Drosophila melanogaster: one gene and its partners. The protein of the gene in region 1 purifies or fractionates together with the protein of each later gene. This does not show direct contact. Each region holds a gene or a part of one and is shown in the gene's direction. Other genes may lie near its edges.

Region 1 (4,682 bases):
CTTCCCGCCTTCACGGCGTTTCATTTGTGACATCAGGGCGAAATCGCAATCTGCGCGCGGTCGCAGCTTTTCCGACAGCTCGTCGATAAACTCTCGTACCACTTCGGGTTTCTCCATCGTGCTACCTTTGAGTGCCCGGTGTGCATATGTATCGAAGCCACAGCTACGCGCCAGTTCATGCCGGCAAAGCAGTAGGTCTCGGAGAAGATCCTCCTGGCTCTTTGACGGCTGCAGGTACAACCGGTAGGCAGCCTCCCGCATCTGAACGTTCTCTGCGTTTGTGCACAGTCCAGTGATAATTACATTTTCCCCAGAGGTAGGAAAGCTGACAAAAAAAAATCTTTAGTATAGCCCAGATAGTGTTATATGTGAACTTACTAGTTACGAAAGGACTCAGGGACTTGGCTGCGTGGAAGAACACTAGGTTGCACAGCTCCACTCATGAACTTCTGGCCGAGCTGAAGAATATAGTCATTTAGCCGCACAACACGCATACGTTCCTCCTCGGGCAAGTGAATTCCACACTGCTCAAAGTCGAAAAGGAACAAACGCGACACATGTCTGTCCACTTCGCTGGTGGGCAGCTTATCTCCATGATCCACTACGTGGCTTAAAGCCTTATAGATGGGCTTATGCGTGTTAAGGCTCTCGACCATTCCGCAAATGCTTATGCAGGCCTGCTCTGCTGCTTGGGTGTATCTGCTCTGAGGATGCGCGATACGAACAAACTCTGCGAGGTCCGCCACCTTGCACAATGAGTCAGAAAGCTCGTCAAAAATGTCGACCATCTTTCGACGTCGTTGATCGGAGGTGGCCTCGGAGATCAGCTCCTGCGTCCGGCTTTCCACATTGTCTCGAAGGAGATAGAAGCCCTCAAAACTCCGCAGTTCGGGCATGCCAAAGAGGCCCTACGGGAAAAAGGCCATGTATGCCTAGTCAGAGGTCCTGCGTTTTACAGACTTTGGGTCTTACAACATCGTCGTGGGTGAAGTTGATCCGCCTAGCCGGTGGCGCATTAAACGCCGTAGCCAGCGGCGTCCACGTAGAGACTCTGCGACTGCAGTGCCGCGTTCTCCAGCGCAGCAATGTTCGACCAAATTCTAGCATGGCACTTCCCCAATTTCGGATCACTTAAATTGCTTGTTTATAACGAAATGGTTACATGAGAAGTCAGCTGCCGGTGAAGTCAACCCGATGTTGCCAGACGTTTTGCTTTTCGATTACAGACATCAATTAACTGCATGTGCAGCTGTATAGAGTTGAGTTGTGTTAACAGTATTTTTCTAAAGCTGTCACCAGTTTAACTAGGATTAGTTTAGATATTACAGAAAAATAAATGTTAATTAAGCTTAAGCGAGTCCTATTTTAGGAATACAAAAAGAATAATATTCCTATTAAGACTGAGTTGCAGGGTATCCCGAAAATGATGTTATTTGATAAATATTTACAAGCAAAAACCCAATTTTATTTGTAAATAAATATAATTATAAAAAAAGCTGTTATACGTAATATGTAAGTCTTCGTTTAACTTGAGGTACAGATATACAACTGATTATGATTTACATCACATATAATAAGTGATATATTGGTATTTTTGAAACCCGTATAATATAATTTATCGATAGTTGATATTTGCGATATTGTCATTCTTGTCCATCCCTATCCAGCATCTCGTTCCGCGCGTGGCTCGTTTGCCGGCACGATGGATTCTATTCTTTGCATGATTTTGCTGATTTTGGTAAGAAATCATGCTTCTGAGGCAGCTAGGTTGAACCACCCGCGTGTGTTACTACCAATATTCGAAGACAAGGCAATAAACTTTACCCTGGAAGTCGACGAGCCGAACTGCTACAAATGGTAAATCGGCGTCATACAGATATAATTTTATAACTTCTAGAACTACTACTACTACTATGCTGAACTTGCAGGTCGTCCTCACGCCAGGACTTGATATCTGTCATGCCCATTTACAAGGGCTTCAGCGAATGTGCATACCAGGCGGTGGTGACAGTCCGCACTCACGATCGTCGGAGGAACACTGCAATCGTCTTCGCCGAGGAAGTACAAACGGGCGAGACGCTGCGTTCCGACGTGATTGTGGATGTCATTGCTAGTCTAAATGTGCGCACCGCCACTCGACAACTTTACCTGGAGGAGGCGCCCGCCATGTTCGAGCTGCACGCCTTTGATGAACAAGGCAACGAGTTTTTTACCTTGGAGGGAATCGAGTTTGACTGGGAGATTTTGGAACCCGGTAGCAAAAGGCCCACCGCAATGCGATACCTCACGTTCACGGACAGTCCGTACCACACTGTACCGCCCACCATTGAAAAGTTTGAAGCCGACGGCAAGAAGGGGCACATGATCCTCCTTGAGGGCATTAATACTGGCACCGCCAAGGTGACCATCGCCATGCCTCAGGCCGAGTACAAGCATGTGCGGCCAGTTGAGGTGTACATCAGCGTTCTTGCAAACATTATAATTGAGCCTTCCGAAGTCACCATAATGGCTGGAGACTCCGTCTCATTTCGCATTCTGCAGCTGAAGATGGACCGACTGCACGTTATAGACAACAATCAGTATTATTTGGAGGTGGAGGACTCCAGCATTGCATACCTTCGTGGAAACAGTGCCACCGGAGCGGCTCTGGGTCGCACCCAGGTCTTTCTGCGAGACCGCAACATGGCGGACTCTGATGAGGTCCAAAAGGGACCCAGCGCTCTATTGACTGTGGCATATCCGAATAGGTTGTCCATCAGTCTGTTGCCCCATCTCAATTGGGTGACAGTACAAGGCGAGCATCACGCTATAGCATTGGATCTTTTTGCTGCCGACGGTCAGAAGATCACAATGGGCACTAAATATTCAATCAACTCAGAGGTGGATGAATCCTTTTTCGCCATTGTTGATCGTACTCGCAACGGAAGCCGCCTTTTCGGTCAAGCAAAAAAAGAGGGAATCACTCAGGTGTATGGCTCATATAAAGACGTAAGTTTATAACTAAAATGTTTGTTATATATATTACTCTAGAAAATATGTGCATAGATATAACCCATTAAAAAGAATCGCGGTATTATCATATAATTAGGCGTTTGTCCACTTCTAAAAACTAAATATTATCTAACAAAAAAAAAGCCATTAATTAAAATTTGTTTTTATTGCTTGCCGACCGCTAAAAATAATTCATTTCGTTTGCCCACCTCTTTTATAACGAAGTAAATAAAATATTAAATAAGTCAAATAAATATCTATTTTTATAAAGTCAACCGCAGTGATATGTAGAATTTTAAATTGTTTGCATTTTTTATAGAAGGTTAACTCAAAATAATAGTCCAAAAGTCTATTTGTTATATTAAAAGTTCTTATAATATTGTTATTTATGTTGCAGCTGTCGGTACAAGCTGAGCTTCAGATATTTGAGGAGCTTCAGTTAGCGCCAACCAAGGTGGTGTTGCCATACGATCCTAACAGCTTAAAACCTTTAAAGCTGCAGTTTCATGCATCTGGCGGAGATAACAACTACGCTTGGTTCTCCGGAAATCCACAGGTGATCCAGATTGACACCCAGGGCCAAGCCACAACTGAAATCCGCGACGTGAAATCCGCTTACGTGAACCAGGAGGTACTGAAAGATGGTGGTAAACTGACCGCCCACACCACCGTCAAGGTGGCTCTATCCAAGAACCAGAAAATTTCCCGTGTGGCACATATCTACTTTCTCCCCCCTGAGCGCCTTCAGATCACGCGGAGCAACTTTGAGACCGCCCTGAAGGACTTCGTACACGTGCATGTGGGCGTATACGCTCGAATAAATAATTCAGAGGTTCCCTACACAAGTTGTGATAATCTTCACTTCCAACTAGACTTCAGCCAGCCCATTCTGCAGTTGGAGGGTAATGAAGGGGCGGAGGCTGCTCACGAGGCGTGTCATGTGCTTCGGTTGCGGGCCACCGCTGTGGGCACCACCTCGCTACGCGTTTCCTATATGTATATGGACAAAGTGCTTTACGACATTATTGATTTGTATGTCTTTGAGCCATTAGTCGTGCTAAATCCAATAGAAAACGAGGTTGTTCTTCCCGTTGGGTCATCCCGTAATATAATTTATGCTAATGGGCCGCAGCGCAGTTTTACGGTGGCAGCAGAAATCATACAATCTACCGCTTTTGATGAAAAAATATTAAAAGTGTCTAAATTAGAGTTCGACACGCAAAATTTGATAACTGCGTTCACCGTGCTGTGTCGTGAGCTGGGCGAGACGCAGTTCACTTACCGAGTGCATAATAGCCTTCCCACCTCAAGCTTTGCCTTATATCAATCGGAGGTGACCACAAAGGTGCATTGCGTCCGTCCTCGCTTCCTAAAGCTCTACGCTCGCCATAACCTGCGTGACTCCTGCCCCCTGGAGAAGCGCACCTCGTTATTATTCCTGAAAGATCCAGAGAATAAAATTGAAATTGAAATCGAGGTACACGATTCAAATAATCGTAGGCTCATGAATATCAGCTCACTAGGGCTTGACTGGGAGTTTTCCGCTGGTGAAGAGCGATACCAGAAGAACATTATCCCGCACCGTCAGATTTCTGAATTGGAGTTCAATCATGGAGTTACCCTGCCGAGTCGCGACCTTCTTGTCTTGACATTGAGTGAAGTGGCGACCAACTTCCGCATTAAGGGAACGG
Region 2 (4,625 bases), 3.1 Mb from region 1:
CCACTCAGTTTGGTTCCTTGAATTTTAAGATGTTCTAGTCGGGCTTCCATGGGCACTTCGTTTTGCACTTTCTTCTGCGAGATGGGCAGGGCGCTGTTGTACTCCACATTTTTTTGGTTTACAATGGGCTTCTGGACCTTGGTGGCGGCCTGGTAGCCCGGCTGCTCCTTTCCCTTCTTTTTCGCATAGAGCTTTTTGGGATCGGCGCGCACAATAACGTTTAGTTTCTCGCCATAGTTGGGCGTAAAACGTTCAAACTGCAGCTGTTGGCGACTTCCGTAGCCAAAGAGGATTTCGTGGGAGCGATTTGAGTCTGTCACAAAGTGGGCCGCCACGGCTAGAAGTGGTTCCACTGTTTCGGCGCCATCGGAAACGATCTGCAGCGAAACCTTGGGCTTCACAAACTTCTCTGCGGATAAACTGTGAAACATAGTACTTCAGTACGAGTGACAAAACGTGTATTCACATGACCCACCTGTTCACATTCAACAGGTAAATGTGTATGATGCCATTGCGGGTAACACTGGCCACACGTAGCTGACCATCGTCGCGCACTTCGCTGGTTAGACAGTAGGCCAAGTCCTCCATGAGGAGCGTGCAGGCGGAGGCTTTGTTCTTGCCCTTCTTGTCGATCTTCCAGAAGCAGATTACGCGCTCCATCTTCGCGGTGGTCAAAACGAATTCAGTGCCATCTGTGCTCGCCACGCTGCTGATTGTGTTTATTTCGCCCGAGTGGCCGGTGAACGTTTCCACCAGCTCCTTTGTCTTGATATCGTACACCTTCAGCTGTCGGTAGCCAATGGCCAAGGTGCCACTTTTCTGAAGGTAGACTATATTTTGGGGCTTCTCGGGTCCCACTTGCCATTCGGCGATGGAGCGCTCGTCCGTCAAGGACCAAACAACAACCCTACAATCGGCACCCACAGTGTATAGGTGGCCAGCGTTGTCATTTGTAATTGAGGTCACTGGTCCATCATGGCTGTCGCCACTGAGCGTTCGAGAAATCTGCAAGGATTGCTTGTGGTTTATTCGCCTTCAAGGCTCTTTGTCCGACTCACCTTTCCCTCGGCTAATGAGTATATAACCACTGAGCCCTTGTACGTTCCCAGAGCAATGTGAAGCTGATCACCGGCTGCATCCTGTGCCTGGAGGCTCTTCCGCGACTTCTTGGGCCGGGAACCGGCCACCAAAACCCACGTGAGAGCTGTGCACGACCCGGATAACTGTAGATTGGGCGTAAACTCCTGATACAGCGTGTTCGTCTCTGTGTTCCATATCCGCAGAACTCCCGACTCGTCCACCGAGGCAAATAGTTGGCCACCATTGGGCGAAAATCCCAACACGTGCTTCTTGCCCAGCGACATCGTTTTTTATGTTTTGAATTAGAGATGGGCGCTAAGGCTAGTGTTTACATCGGCTCACACTCGTCGCACTTAATGCAATCTATCACGCAAATGTCACGCACGACTCACGATTGAATTGCATTTACCGACGTTTCCTATACCCTTGAAAGATTTATCAAATTATATGCAAACAAAATTCATCGAGTGAACAATATAATAAACCAATGGGAATGTGAATTTTTTAAATAAACTTTTCAGTTTTTAAATTAAATAATAAAATATTTTACTCTAATTGTTTTAAAATTTCCTCAAAACTTAAAATGAGTAAATTCTTTTGCAACTGTAAATATTACTTATTTGGAGTAACTTATATACATTATCCTGGATTATTTAAGTAAATGCGTTCAAAGACCAAGAAATAAACTCGATTTACAGGATTCTTTGGGGCGTAAACTCCACTGCTGAACTATATTGTTAATTGCATGCTATTCATCATAAACCATTGAGAATCGTTACCTTATTGAAAAAGATCAATTCAAATGTAAAATAAAAATAAAATAGCGCCAGTCACCGTTTACGATAATCGATAGGCAAGTGCCATCGCTATCCCATCCAGAATGTTCGCGGCCACTTTGAGGTTATAACTATAGCTGGAATTTACCGACTGACTCCGTGTGAAATTGAAATCTGTGTTAAAAAATGGCTTTATCCGTTCCCAAGGCTCCCGGTGTGTCGCAGATGCTGAAGGATGGCGCCCGGGTAAGTGCAACAAGGAGGAATAACTCTGCGAGGAGTCCGCCGGGCATCGGTTTCATTGAGATTCGGCTTAAAAGAAAACATGCCGTCTTGCGGAGGCGCGTGATTAGTCATCCTCATGGAACGGGGCTCGACATATGAAAGAAAAATGACTAATTTAATGGCTTTACTTGTGTCCTCAGATGTACAGTGGGCTGGAGGAGGCGGTGTTCCGCAACATCAGCGCCTGCAAGGAGTTTGCACAGACCATGCGCTCTGCCTATGGGCCAAATGGCATGAACAAGATGATCATCAATCACATCGAGAAGCAGTTCGTGACCAGCGATGCCGGCACCATCATGCGGGAGCTGGATGTTGAGCATCCAGCCGCCAAGTTGATCGTCATGGCCAGCCAGATGCAGGATGCCGAGGTGGGCGATGGTACAAACTTCGTGGTGGTGCTGGCCGGAGCTCTGTTGGAGTCCGCTGAGGAGCTGCTGCGTCTAGGAATCACCACTGCCGAGATCTCCGACGGCTATGAAAAGGCCTTGGAGAAGGCTCTGGAGATTCTGCCCAATCTGGTGAGCCACAAGATCGAGGACTATCGCAATGTGGAGAAGGTCAAGGAGGTACTCCGCACATCGATCATGTCGAAGCAGTACGGCCAGGAGGACTTCCTCAACGATTTGGTGAGCAAGGCCTGCGTCTCCATCTTGCCGGATGAGGGCACCTTCAACGTGGACAACATTCGCATCTGTAAGATCTTGGGCAGCGGACTGACCAAGTCTGAGGTGGTTCGCGGCATGGTCTTCAAGCGCTTCGTAGAAGGCGATGTGACCTATGCAGAGAAGGCCAAGATCGTGATTTTCTCCTGCCCCGTCGATATTATCCAAACTGAGACCAAGGGCACAGTGCTGATCAAGTCGGCCGACGAGCTATTGAGCTTTTCCTCCGGCGAAGAGAGCCTGTTGGAGAGCCAGATCAAGGCTATCGCCGACGCAGGTGTCAAGGTGGTTGTGGCCGGCGGCAAGGTTGGCGACATGGCTCTGCACTTCCTTAACAAATACGGTCTGATGGCCGTGCGTCTCAACTCTAAGTTCGACCTGCGTCGCCTGAGCCGATCCGTAAACGCCACTGTCCTGCCGCGCATCACCACGCCCAGTCAGGAGGAGTTGGGCTACTGCGACAAAGTTTGCATCGAGGAACTGGGAGACACCACAATTGTGGCCTTCAGGTGGGATTTTCAATGGAATTAGCGAGAGAAAATACCATTATAATTTCTTATTGAATCATTGCAGGAACGAGGGCAAGGACTCGCGCATTGCCACCGTGGTGATCCGTGGAGCTACCGACAACTTCATGGATGACATTGAGCGTGCCCTGGATGACGCTATTAACAACTTCAAGTGCCTGACCCGGGATGGCCGCTATCTGCCCGGAGCTGGCGCCACCGAGATCGAGTTGGCCACCCAGCTGTCCGCCTATGCTGATACTCTGCCTGGTCTGGACCAGTACGCCGTGCGCAAGTTCGCTAATGCGCTGGAAGTTTTCCCCAAGGCTCTGGCCGAGAACTCCGGCATCAATGGCACGGAAATCGTCAACCAGTTGTATTTGGCCCACAACAACGAGGCCGGAAAGACAATCGGCTTCGACATTGAGGCCGAGAAGGCCAGCACCATCGACACAACGAAGGCAAAGCTCTTCGATCTGTACCAGTCCAAGTTCTGGGGTCTCAAGTACGCTGTTGGCGCGGCCGCAACCATCTTGAAGGTGGACCAGATCATCATGGCCAAGCGCGCCGGAGGTCCCAAGGTGCGACAGGCTGCCGGCAGCGATGACGAGAGTTAAGCGGCTCCTCTGTGATTCGTACTCCCTACTATAACTAGTTTCTCCCGCTCCCACAAAGAGTGCATTGTATTTTCATAAACGAGTCCCATGGAAATTATAAATTTCATTAACCACTCTCACACTCACCCACATACACAGCCATGCACACAGTTTCTTGTATTAATAAACTTAACTTACGAAAACTGAACTGAAACGCGTGATCCTTCGGGGGCCTTTGAAATAAAACAACGTGGTTTTCGCACCGAACCCGGTGCCACCGCTAGATAACGAATCTAAGTAAGTTATCGCTTTTTATTTTTGAAATTTAAGCAAACGATTATTCATTTTGTTGAGTACAATATTTCAAATGCTTATTCGCAGATACATTTCAATAATATTTGTGAGGACTCGTCCCCGTTTGCATCGCAAAAGAGTTGTATTAATTTTCGAATAAAATACGATCTCGTTGTCGCTTTTCATTTGAAGTGAAAGGTGTTAAAGTGTATTCGATGACCATGATTGATTTTGAGTACGTGTGCATCTAATGCCCTTCCTTTCCAAATGCGATTTACCCTCTATGGATAAGTTATAGAAAATGACACATCTGAGGACGAAACCAAACCATCCGTGCTCCATTGGGTGGTTCGGCTGTCCTCGGGCTAATAACATTCAGGGATAACTAAAAAGTTTGGATGCAAAGTGTCCGTTGGATCGAAAACT
Region 3 (5,963 bases), on another chromosome or scaffold:
GAAACAAGAATCGGTCAATAATAGGTATTGAATGCGTGGTGTACATATGTACATATTTACATATAACCATATACATATGTGTATATACTTGCGGCGAACGTCATTACGAGGTGGGCATTTGCATACGCTTAAGTGGCGGACTTGTGCACTTGGTTGGCCCTACCGAATTTTCAGAAGAACGATGAGAACGCTCCGCCGATAAGAGCTAGTCCAATTACTATGGCTAATCTTATCGCGGAAGCATAAACCAATGGAACGTGCTACGATAAGCGTTCAGAGCGGCTATATGTGGCTATACCACCCAGAGCTCTTAATGAGAAACGCAACTCTTGGTTGCACTCGAGACGTGGGCAATTACATCACGATTATGCCAAAGCAGCGGCGGCACACACAAAATTCCGATTGATAGTGAGGTTAGGTCGTGTTATGTTCATGCCGCTGCTCCTCCGATTACCAGGCGGCCATGCAGTCTCTCTCACCTTGACGGAGTCCAGCGGATACATGACCACATGCTCCAGCACGCCCGCAATTGCGCCCGCCGTCATATTGACACCCACACTGGTGGTGGGCAGCGATTCGTAGTCGTCGATGTTCATGGTGGATCCGAACGGTTGCCGTCGCTTTCGATTGTTGAGGCTGCTGGTGGGGCTGCACTATCGACTGTGTTGTGTGCTAATGCTGTGGTTGCGCCCTTGCAGTCGCTGCTCCTCTTACGACAACCTGCTAATCCGGACCAGTTCTGCCAAGTCGCTGTTGCAGTTGCTGCTGCAGAGCCGCTTTCTCCGCTGGGATCGGGTCGCTCCGCCTGTCGAGGATCGGCGTTGGTTAGCGGGCAACTCTTGGCCGGCGTATGTCGGGCACTTTTGGTGCAATTTTGTTGTATAACACGGATAACACGACGATTCACGGACGCACGGGCGGGTGTATTTCGGGGGGTGGTGCTGCTGGCGGAGGCGGCGGCGGTGGCGGTGGTGGTGCAGAGTGTACGCGTGAGGTGGTCTTATGCGAAACTGCTAATTGACACTGCTGTTGCACGACTAGCATACAGACGACATAGAGACGATTCCCCGATTCAACGATTCACGCGAGGAAGCAATTTCTGGTTTAGTTGCTCGCGGCTAAGCTGCTGCTGCTGGAGTGGCGGCTGCGGATCGGTTGTTTTATGAATATATAAGAGTCGGTTTGTGGCCGAAGCGGAATTTTGGCTGGGTCGGTGTTTGGCAACTGACGCAAATGTTGTATGATTACAGCGAATCATTAAATTTCGCCCAATAAACAAGCCTCGTGCCCAGAGTGACCGCAGCGGGAACGTCGCAAAATACCAAAATGGCTCGGGTGAAAATACCAGCACAAGTCCACCCACATGTGGGTGCGGAACCTTAACGCCATGGCAAATAAAAATACCAACATTAAAATATTTAACTTAACATTGTAAAATAAACCGAACGGTACAAAATCATATGTTATATATTCTAAAACGAAATGGATTTCCTTGATCTCTGTCAGGAATTTATATTTTATTTCAATTCATATTTTTATCATTACTTTGCTATATCAATAAGTTCTCAGTTATCTATTTTGGCAGCTTAAAAATTGTATATACACGAAGTTGTTGTGCAACCGACCGAAGAATTTATTATTTTAAAGCTTAGTTGTTGTATACATGAAAAGATACTAATTTGTTTCAAATATAAATCATATATCTACCGGCCTAAGTGTTCCCTTTTGTAAACTATTGATATAAGAATGTAAATTATCAAATTAAATATATTTAACAGTAGAGTTTTGACACTACATCCTCTTGTAAACTAAATCCCAAATAGATTCTATGAATGTATGGGCTTTCAAATAAGCAAACATTAAATTTATTTAAATTACACTATTTTCGTGCTCTGTGCTGTATATATATCCTATTTCCAGTGCAGCCCCTGGTATTTCCTTCCAATGCGCTTAGAATGTTCCAGCGCCGGAATACGGTCACTCTGCGAGGCATTTAAAGGCCTTCCAGCCGCTTGTCGGCGTCAGTAAAAAAAAATCAAAGCAGGCGACGCAAGTGCGGACTAATTTATTGCATCTGTTATTCGTGACGTGGCCTTTCGCCGGACGAACCGATAGCTCGAGCTCCGTAAATCAAGCTACCAAAGATCATGAAGTACTTTTTGCTGGTGGGCCTGCTGCTCCTAGCAGGTAAGTGTGCACATTTGCCACGCCGCATTGAACCGGTGTTTTAACCTAATTATTAATTGGCGTCTGATTCGCGTCTGATTAGGCATCAATCAAATAGCCGCCGATGACGAGGCCGCCACAACGGAGACCATCGACCTTGATCTGGGCTCCTTCAAGGAGGGCTCCCGCACCGGTACGTAGACACGCCCCCCTCTCGCGACGACGAGTTTTGTTTGGTACACGTCAGCGTTGCGATAACCGCCCCCTTTTTCTAATTCCCAATCCCCCAGATGCCGAGACCCTGAAGCGCGAGGAGGAGGCCATCCAGCTGGACGGCCTGAACGTGGCGCAGCTGAAGGAAATTCGCGAGAAGGTGGGTTCATTGCCAGGTCATTTGGAAGGTACACGTATGACCGGGATTTCCTTTCCCTTTTTTCTTTGTCTTTTGTCTGTGCGTGCAGGCGAAGAAGTTTACTTTCCAAACGGAGGTCAACCGCATGATGAAGCTGATTATCAACTCGCTTTACCGCAACAAGGAGATCTTCCTGCGTGAATTGATATCCAACGCCTCCGATGCCATCGACAAGATCCGCCTATTGGCTCTGTCCAACAGCAAGGAGCTGGAAACGAATCCGGAGCTGCACATCCGCATTAAGGCCGACAAGGAGAACAAGGCGTTGCACATCATGGACTCGGGTATCGGCATGACTCACCAGGATCTGATCAATAACCTGGGTACAATTGCCAAGTCCGGCACTGCCGATTTTCTGGCCAAGATGCAGGATCCCAGCAAGTCGGAGGGACTCGATATGAACGACATGATTGGACAGTTCGGTGTGGGCTTTTACTCCGCTTTCTTGGTCGCCGATCGTGTAGTGGTGACCACCAAGCACAACGACGACAAACAGTACATCTGGGAGTCGGATGCCAACAGCTTCAGCATCACCGAGGATCCCCGTGGCGATACTCTGAAGCGAGGATCCGTGATCTCGCTGTATCTGAAGGAAGAAGCCCAGGACTTCCTGGAGGAGGACACCGTGCGCGAGCTCATCCGCAAGTACTCGCAGTTCATCAACTTCCCCATCCGCATGTGGTCCAGCAAGACCGTCGAGGAGGAGGTGCCCGTGGAGGAGGAGGCCAAGCCCGAGAAGAGCGAGGATGACGTGGAGGATGAGGACGCCAAGGTCGAGGAGGCCGAAGATGAGAAGCCCAAGACCAAAAAGGTTTCGAAGACCACCTGGGACTGGACCCTGATCAACGACAGCAAGCCCATCTGGACGCGCAAGCCCGCCGAAGTGACCGAGGATGAGTACACTAGCTTCTACAAGAGCCTGACCAAGGACTCCAGCGAGCCCCTGACCCAGACGCACTTCATCGCCGAGGGCGAGGTGACCTTCAAGAGTTTGCTCTACGTGCCCAAGGTGCAGCCATCGGAGTCCTTCAACCGCTACGGCACCAAGTCCGACAACATTAAGCTGTACGTGCGCCGTGTTTTCATCACCGACGAGTTCAACGACATGATGCCCAACTACCTGAGCTTCATTCGTGGCGTCGTCGACTCCGACGATCTGCCCCTGAACGTTTCCCGCGAAACTCTGCAGCAGCACAAGCTCATCAAGGTGATCAAGAAGAAGCTGGTCCGCAAGGTTCTCGATATGCTGAAGAAGATCGACAAGGAGGCGTATGAGAAGTTCTGGAAGGAGTTCTCCACCAAGTAAGTGTCGCTTTCTAGGAATTAAGAAACGTTCTTTGCCTGTTCAAATAATTAGTTATTTATGATAAGCATTTCCGCAGAATCCATTATAATATGGAGAATAGAATGACGTGTATTATTTTTTGCCAACAAATTAATATATTTAGTTTGTTGCTTTAAAGAATTCCGCGCTGATAAGATAAGGAAATCCACGTAGTATTATAATATTGGCACTGGTGACGTGTAGAGTTTATACTTAAATATTTTATTTTAGTTAAATAAGCATTTCCATTAGCTATAACCTCGAATTCTTGGATTTTCGTTGCTTATCAAGACTTAATTGACTCATTTCAGCATCAAATTGGGCGTGATGGAGGATCCCAGCAACCGATCGCGTCTCGCCAAGCTGCTCCGCTTCCAGACCTCCAACGGCAAGGGCGTCACCTCGCTGGCGGAGTACAAGGAGCGCATGAAGGCCAAGCAGGAGCACATCTACTACATCGCTGGTGCCAACCGCGCTGAGGTCGAGAAGTCGCCGTTCGTCGAGCGTCTGCTGAGCAAGGGATACGAGGTGCTGTATCTGGTGGAGGCCGTCGACGAGTACTGCATCTCCGCGCTGCCCGAGTTCGATGGCAAGAAGTTCCAGAACGTGGCCAAGGAGGGATTCCAGCTGAACGAGTCCGAGAAGAGCAAGAAGAACTTCGAGTCGCTAAAGAGCACCTTCGAGCCGCTGGTCAAGTGGCTGAACGATGTGGCACTCAAGGATCAGATCTCCAAGGCCCAGGTTTCCGAGCGTCTGAGCAACTCGCCATGCGCCCTCGTGGCCGGCGTCTTCGGCTGGACCGGCAACATGGAGCGTCTGGCCATGTCCAACGCCCACCAGAAGTCCGACGATCCTCAGCGCACCTACTACCTCAACCAGAAGAAAACGCTCGAGATCAATCCCAGGCATCCGCTGATGCGCGAGCTGCTGCGCCGCGTGGAGGCCGACGAGGCCGATGACACCGCCAAGGACATGGCTGTGATGATGTTCCGCACCGCCACCCTGCGGTCTGGATACATGCTCCAGGAGACTTCGCAGTTCGCCGACAGTATTGAGCAGATGATGCGCCAGACCTTGGGTGTCTCCCAAGACGAGCAGGTGGAGTTCGACGAGGAGGAGGAGGATGATGCCGAGGAGACCGCCACCGGCAGCCAGGAGAGCGGCAACGCCGATGATGAGGAGGAGGAGCAGCAGCACGACGAGCTGTAAACTACTTCACCTCACCCACTGTCCAAATAGATTGTACATAAGAGTGTGAAGTTCAGACTGAGTTTTAAACCGCCACCGGGTGGCCGGGCGGGCACTCCATCAACATTACACGCTAGATTCTAAGTAAAATAATTTCGTAGTCCTTCGCCCACGCCGTCATCACCGCCAGTCGCCCAGAGAGCACTCCACCATTTCAGCCAGCACACTTGGTTGCTCAAGCGTTTTCTTTTTTCGAAAGCAAGTGAATTATGTATTTATACAATGTAATATGCTTAGTACACAACAGATTCCAATCAAAACAAATAAAGACAAATGAATTTAAAACTAAAACAACTGCCTATTTAATATGGCGCGCAATGTAAAATTTCCGCAATCGGATACCAAAAAATAGTTAAAAAGTGAATTGATTGCTCGATCAGTCAAGATCGGAACTCAGCGGCTCATCGTTCAGGGCCCTCAAGTAGGTGTTGTACTTCATCTGGTCGCGGATCTGCTGCACGGCCTCCGATTGGGACAGCGTGTATGTGTCCATAAAGAGGCGCACTATCCACAGCGGGAGCAGTCCGTTCACCAGCAGCGACGTGTGGTTCTGGTAATCGGGACATGTTAGGATGGATATGTGTGTCACTCCAGGACGCCCCAAACTTACGCTTCGACTGCTGTAGACCTCGCCCAGTTTCTTGAGCATCTGCTGGTGAATGCTCTTGCTCAGTATGTCGATGACGTCCATGTGGGCAATGTTCATGTAGTGACTGGTGCGCGGCTTGAACTCGCGCTCCTTGAACAGCTTATCGAAGTCGCTGCGATAGTTTTCGAACGTATTCAGCACCTCGTCCTCGCCCATTTTTTCCA
Region 4 (4,221 bases), on another chromosome or scaffold:
ATAAATTGTAACGTGTAACGAAATAAGTTTATGGACAAGGGCAAGGGAGAAACCTGTACTTGCGGGTGCACGCTTTAAAGTCCGGCTCTAGCTCATGGTGTGGCGGTCTTGCTTGTACAAATACCTTTTCCCTACAGGCATTAATAATTAAAATCAAGAATTGAGCGTGCTTTCAACAACGGAATAGAGGAGCTAGTATACAAAATCGGAGGAAGAAAATTAATATTTTCGAAAGGAGGAGGAAGTTCTAGAACAGGAGGAATAGCTTAAGAATTGGTTGCCTGCGCAACACAGGTTTAATTATGTTCGCGGATTGCCCTATGCTATCTATGACCACTTTCATTAAAGGCATGGCTCTAGCGGCCCCTTTGGTACCCTATGTCCGATGAAACATCAGCCGAGTTCAGTATTTAAGTTTTTAGAAATTCATTTTTTTATTGCATTCATGGTGGTAACTAATAATTAATAGCAATATTTATAAGTAATAATAGGTAAGTAATAAATTAAATAAGTAAATAAATGAATGCAAACTAAAGTAAGATGAGGAAATATAAGGCAGTAGGTGTTAGTTTTTGCCGTAAATTCAAGAAAAATTTTATAAAAGGTATTCAAGAAAATTGTCATTAAATGGATGCGACACAGGTTGCTAAATATATTTTAGAGGAGAACCAAATTATTTATTTAAATTATCCCATAAACTTATGGTAACTTATGGTAAAGCCTTCTAATATATGATTTAAAAATATAACCTAATTTTTCTCAGTGCAGAATGGCGGTTCGGAGATTTTGAATTTTTCCGATGTAGGTTTAGGTCAGGAAGGGTTCATCCAGCATTATTTTATATACTATGTACATATATATTTCAAATTTGTATATGTTCACTTCATCAGGAACTTCTCACTGTGTAACCTAACTTAACCCAACTGTGCGCTTAACCTAACTGTACGGTTCTATTTTAATTAATACATTTTCTGTGTGCTGCTTCTTATCCTCTTCGGAATTTTCGATGGGAAAAAGTTAGAACCTTCGCGTCTACTAACAGATTACTTTTCGCCCCGATATCCACTAACCTGTGGCTGCCCCAGTCGAAACTTGGGGTCTGGGCGGTGGCGCCCATTATCCTGCTGCATAATAATGCTAATTCCTAAAGTTTGTCTATCCCGGGAGCTGTATTGTTTTACAGCTTTAGTGTTAAACCTACAGATTCTCAGAGAACAGATGGCTACTCATTCGTTGACTAGAAGGGAGGGCGGAGGGCCTTTGCTGAGAGACTCTCAAAATTGAAAGTTTTACCTGGTTCGTCGTAAAACTTTTTTTGTTTTGAGTTCAAATTAATGTTTTATAAATGAAATAATAAATAACTAAATAATAATAATAAATAAATAATAAATAAATAAGCTTATATAATAAGATCCATTTTAATTGTTTTTTCATAAAACAAAATGAGTGATTTTTTTTATAATTACAAATGAAACACTTGAATTACCGAAACAAAAACGCTTAACTGTGCCATCACTAATACTTATTGGCAATAAATAAGTGCGATTTTATGACAACAAAGACGTATCGATAAGATGCATGTGCAAAATGCGGTGTGTGTATTAACTTAATACTTGGCCTAAGGCTTATCGATAAGGATATCGATACTAAAAAGTCCGGCACCATTGTCGCTATCGAATGCCCAAGTATACAAGACAAGCTATGAGAACGAATATAAGGTGGTCAGTTTTAAGTAATTCAAAAAATTCTAAGTCAAAATGTGTCGCAAGTGTAGTTACTTGATTTAATCGCGAAATTTACTCGTGGATTATGTCTTAAGATAATATCGATATATTGCCGGCGTCATCGATTGCTGACACATATCGAAAGGTCCGGCCACACTGCTCACCGTCTTCTTCTTGTCATCCCTTCCGTTTCCCTTTCTTTTCGTCTTCACGTTTCCGGTGAGTGCGTGTGCTCCGCGAATTTTTAAGCAAAACTCCCTATTAAATACCTCCAATTCTCTTTTTTACTTGCAGCGGGAGTATTACGATACGTTCGCGTTCGTGTAACTTTGTGTTTGCAAATCAATCCAGGTAATTGTCGCCGAAAACCCCCATTTTCAAGCGGCCGCACCGGGAAAATATGCGCCCAATGTTGTTCCCGAATGCATGTGTACATTTTTTTTTTGTGTGGACAAAGAAGCGAGTCTTTCAGACTCAATAAACAATGTGTGAATTGGATACCACATGGATGATCTGTAGATATATCCTGGCAATGAACCGAATCTAATTGCTATTTTTTTTTTTTGTTGTTTGTGCAGAATGTTTATGCCAAAGGCCCATCGTGTCGCGATCTACGAGTACCTCTTCAAGGAGGGCGTGATCGTGGCCAAGAAGGATTTCCATGCCCAGAAGCACCCGGAACTGGAGTCGATCCCCAACTTGCACGTGATCAAGGCGATGCAGTCGCTCCACTCGCGCGGACTGGTTAAGGAGCAGTTCGCCTGGCGCCACTACTACTGGTACCTCACCAACGAGGGAATCGAGGAGCTGCGCAGCTACCTCCACCTGCCGCCCGAGATCGTGCCCTCGACGCTGAAGCGCCCTGCCCGCTCGGAGACCGTCCGTCCCCGTCCCGCCGTTGGCGGCCCACGCGGACCCGGTGACGCCTCCAAGACCGGAGAGGATCGCTCCGCCTACCGACGTGCTCCCGGCGGCAGCGGAGTGGACAAGAAGGGCGATGTTGGACCCGGTGCCGGAGAGGTCGAGTTCCGTGGCGGATTCGGACGCGGATCGCGCAACTAAACAACCCAGGCGCTTCAGTTTTTTTTTCTAATGTATAAAAAATTACTCAGTAAAATGTTCAACTGAAGATCCATACCCTTAACAATAGAAGAAACCAACATCTGAAAAATGTGTGTGTGTTTTATGATATGACGATCAATTATAAAGCAAACGCAAGTGAAATTCCGTGCTCCCCTCTATTTTTTTTTTTTGTTTTGTTTTTGTTGTTTGGTCCAGTGATTGTGGTGTGCAAATCGGACGTGGATTCAGATCCCAAGCGTGGCTAAATAGTATAGTAAACCCGATGCCCGGCCAAACTGAAACTGCTAACCCAACACATTTTTGCAAGAAGCTCTTCAGATAACTTTAGAAGTAGGATTTTGCAGATAATTCAGTTTATTTTGCGAGGTTCTGTCGAGAGGAAAGAAGGAATTCTAGCGTAAATACGTTTTTTTGAATACAATACATGCATTCAATTTTGGTAATTTCAAAAGATTGTTGTATATAGATTTGGATATTTGTCGATTTGTAGCTCTTTATTATAAAAATATGTGCAGAAATTCATCGCATTCGTTTATAGCTGTGTGCCAAAACATAGTAGACTTGGGTTGGAATAAACCAGTTGGCTCGAAATACTACATTCAAATATTTAAATAACATTAGAATCCAATTGCTCATAACAAAAACGGCATGAATTGCAAGGACATAGATTAAATTTGATTTACCATCAAAGGAAATGGTATATTTTCTAAACGATAAGCCAAAATCTTCGTATGTGGAGGAACGTAACTTAAATGCTCAATTTCGTTTTATTTGTTCACGCTACTTAAACGTTCACAATTAGTTAAATAACTAGTTTACTTAAATAGTCTTCTTTTGCTCACGAGCATCCTTTTGTTGTTCTGTAGCTGCCTTTTACTTATATATTAATTCTAATTTTATAAATACACTAGTTTCACATTTCCCAAAGTTAGGTTTTAGTTAAATCTTATGTGTCTACTAATATTATTTAAAAGCTTATGTGCTTCTCCATTTAACGTTGATTACTTTCAACTAATATTTTATGTAAACAAGTAAGTATGCTGCTATGCTCGGACCATAAAGAATTCGAATCGCTTAGATTATTTATTTAGGCCGACCAAAAGAACTACAACAATATACGACGAATGGCATTATTCTAGGTTTATGCCATGGCACATCGGAGTAGAAACATGGTTTGGGTAGTTAAGGTTATGTACATTCCTCCATTTAGCATAAATCCGAAGATACCTGGAGACTATCATTGCCTTAACATGGTTAAAAGAAGCTGGTTATGGACCTATGTTTCCCGCAAAAACGTTCTGCGCATCGCAACTGGGGCGCACTGCGCTGGAAAGTGTATTCGCTTGCAACAATAAAAAAAAAATCGCTTTGTATACAAAATAATTGTGGTTTCATTATTTACAATGTGCAATAC

The links.
Region 2: the proteins of Gp210 (region 1) and CCT8 purify together in Drosophila melanogaster (affinity purification with mass spectrometry, with the first as the bait; one large-scale study listed by BioGRID). This does not show direct contact.
Region 3: the proteins of Gp210 (region 1) and Gp93 purify together in Drosophila melanogaster (affinity purification with mass spectrometry, with the first as the bait; one large-scale study listed by BioGRID). This does not show direct contact.
Region 4: the proteins of Gp210 (region 1) and RpS10b purify together in Drosophila melanogaster (affinity purification with mass spectrometry, with the first as the bait; one large-scale study listed by BioGRID). This does not show direct contact.

The regions. Positions count from the first base shown.
Region 1 is NT_033778.4:5,759,206-5,763,887, forward strand, and holds the start of Gp210 (glycoprotein 210 kDa), read left to right. Parts: upstream 1-1,656; 5' UTR 1,657-1,702; coding exon 1,703-1,857; intron 1,858-1,928; coding exon 1,929-2,988; intron 2,989-3,388; coding exon 3,389-4,682. Other genes in the region: CG7791 (uncharacterized protein), read right to left, coding at 1-325, 379-908, 973-1,107.
Region 2 is NT_033778.4:8,904,330-8,908,954, reverse strand, and holds CCT8 (chaperonin containing TCP1 subunit 8), read left to right. Parts: upstream 1-1,964; 5' UTR 1,965-2,042; coding exon 2,043-2,102; intron 2,103-2,281; coding exon 2,282-3,312; intron 3,313-3,376; coding exon 3,377-3,926; 3' UTR 3,927-4,111; downstream 4,112-4,625. Other genes in the region: CG30349 (uncharacterized protein), read right to left, coding at 1-420, 476-1,005, 1,059-1,364.
Region 3 is NT_033777.3:27,946,715-27,952,677, forward strand, and holds Gp93 (glycoprotein 93), read left to right. Parts: upstream 1-1,996; 5' UTR 1,997-2,147; coding exon 2,148-2,187; intron 2,188-2,269; coding exon 2,270-2,359; intron 2,360-2,456; coding exon 2,457-2,539; intron 2,540-2,627; coding exon 2,628-3,880; intron 3,881-4,213; coding exon 4,214-5,111; 3' UTR 5,112-5,437; downstream 5,438-5,963. Other genes in the region: mfrn (mitoferrin), read right to left, coding at 480-596; CG4951 (uncharacterized protein), read right to left, coding at 5,527-5,700, 5,761-5,963.
Region 4 is NC_004354.4:19,596,131-19,600,351, forward strand, and holds RpS10b (ribosomal protein S10b), read left to right. Parts: upstream 1-1,909; 5' UTR 1,910-1,947; exon of another isoform or gene 1,948-2,018; 5' UTR 2,019-2,075; intron 2,076-2,294; exon of another isoform or gene 2,295-2,302; 5' UTR 2,303-2,303; coding exon 2,304-2,786; 3' UTR 2,787-3,676; downstream 3,677-4,221.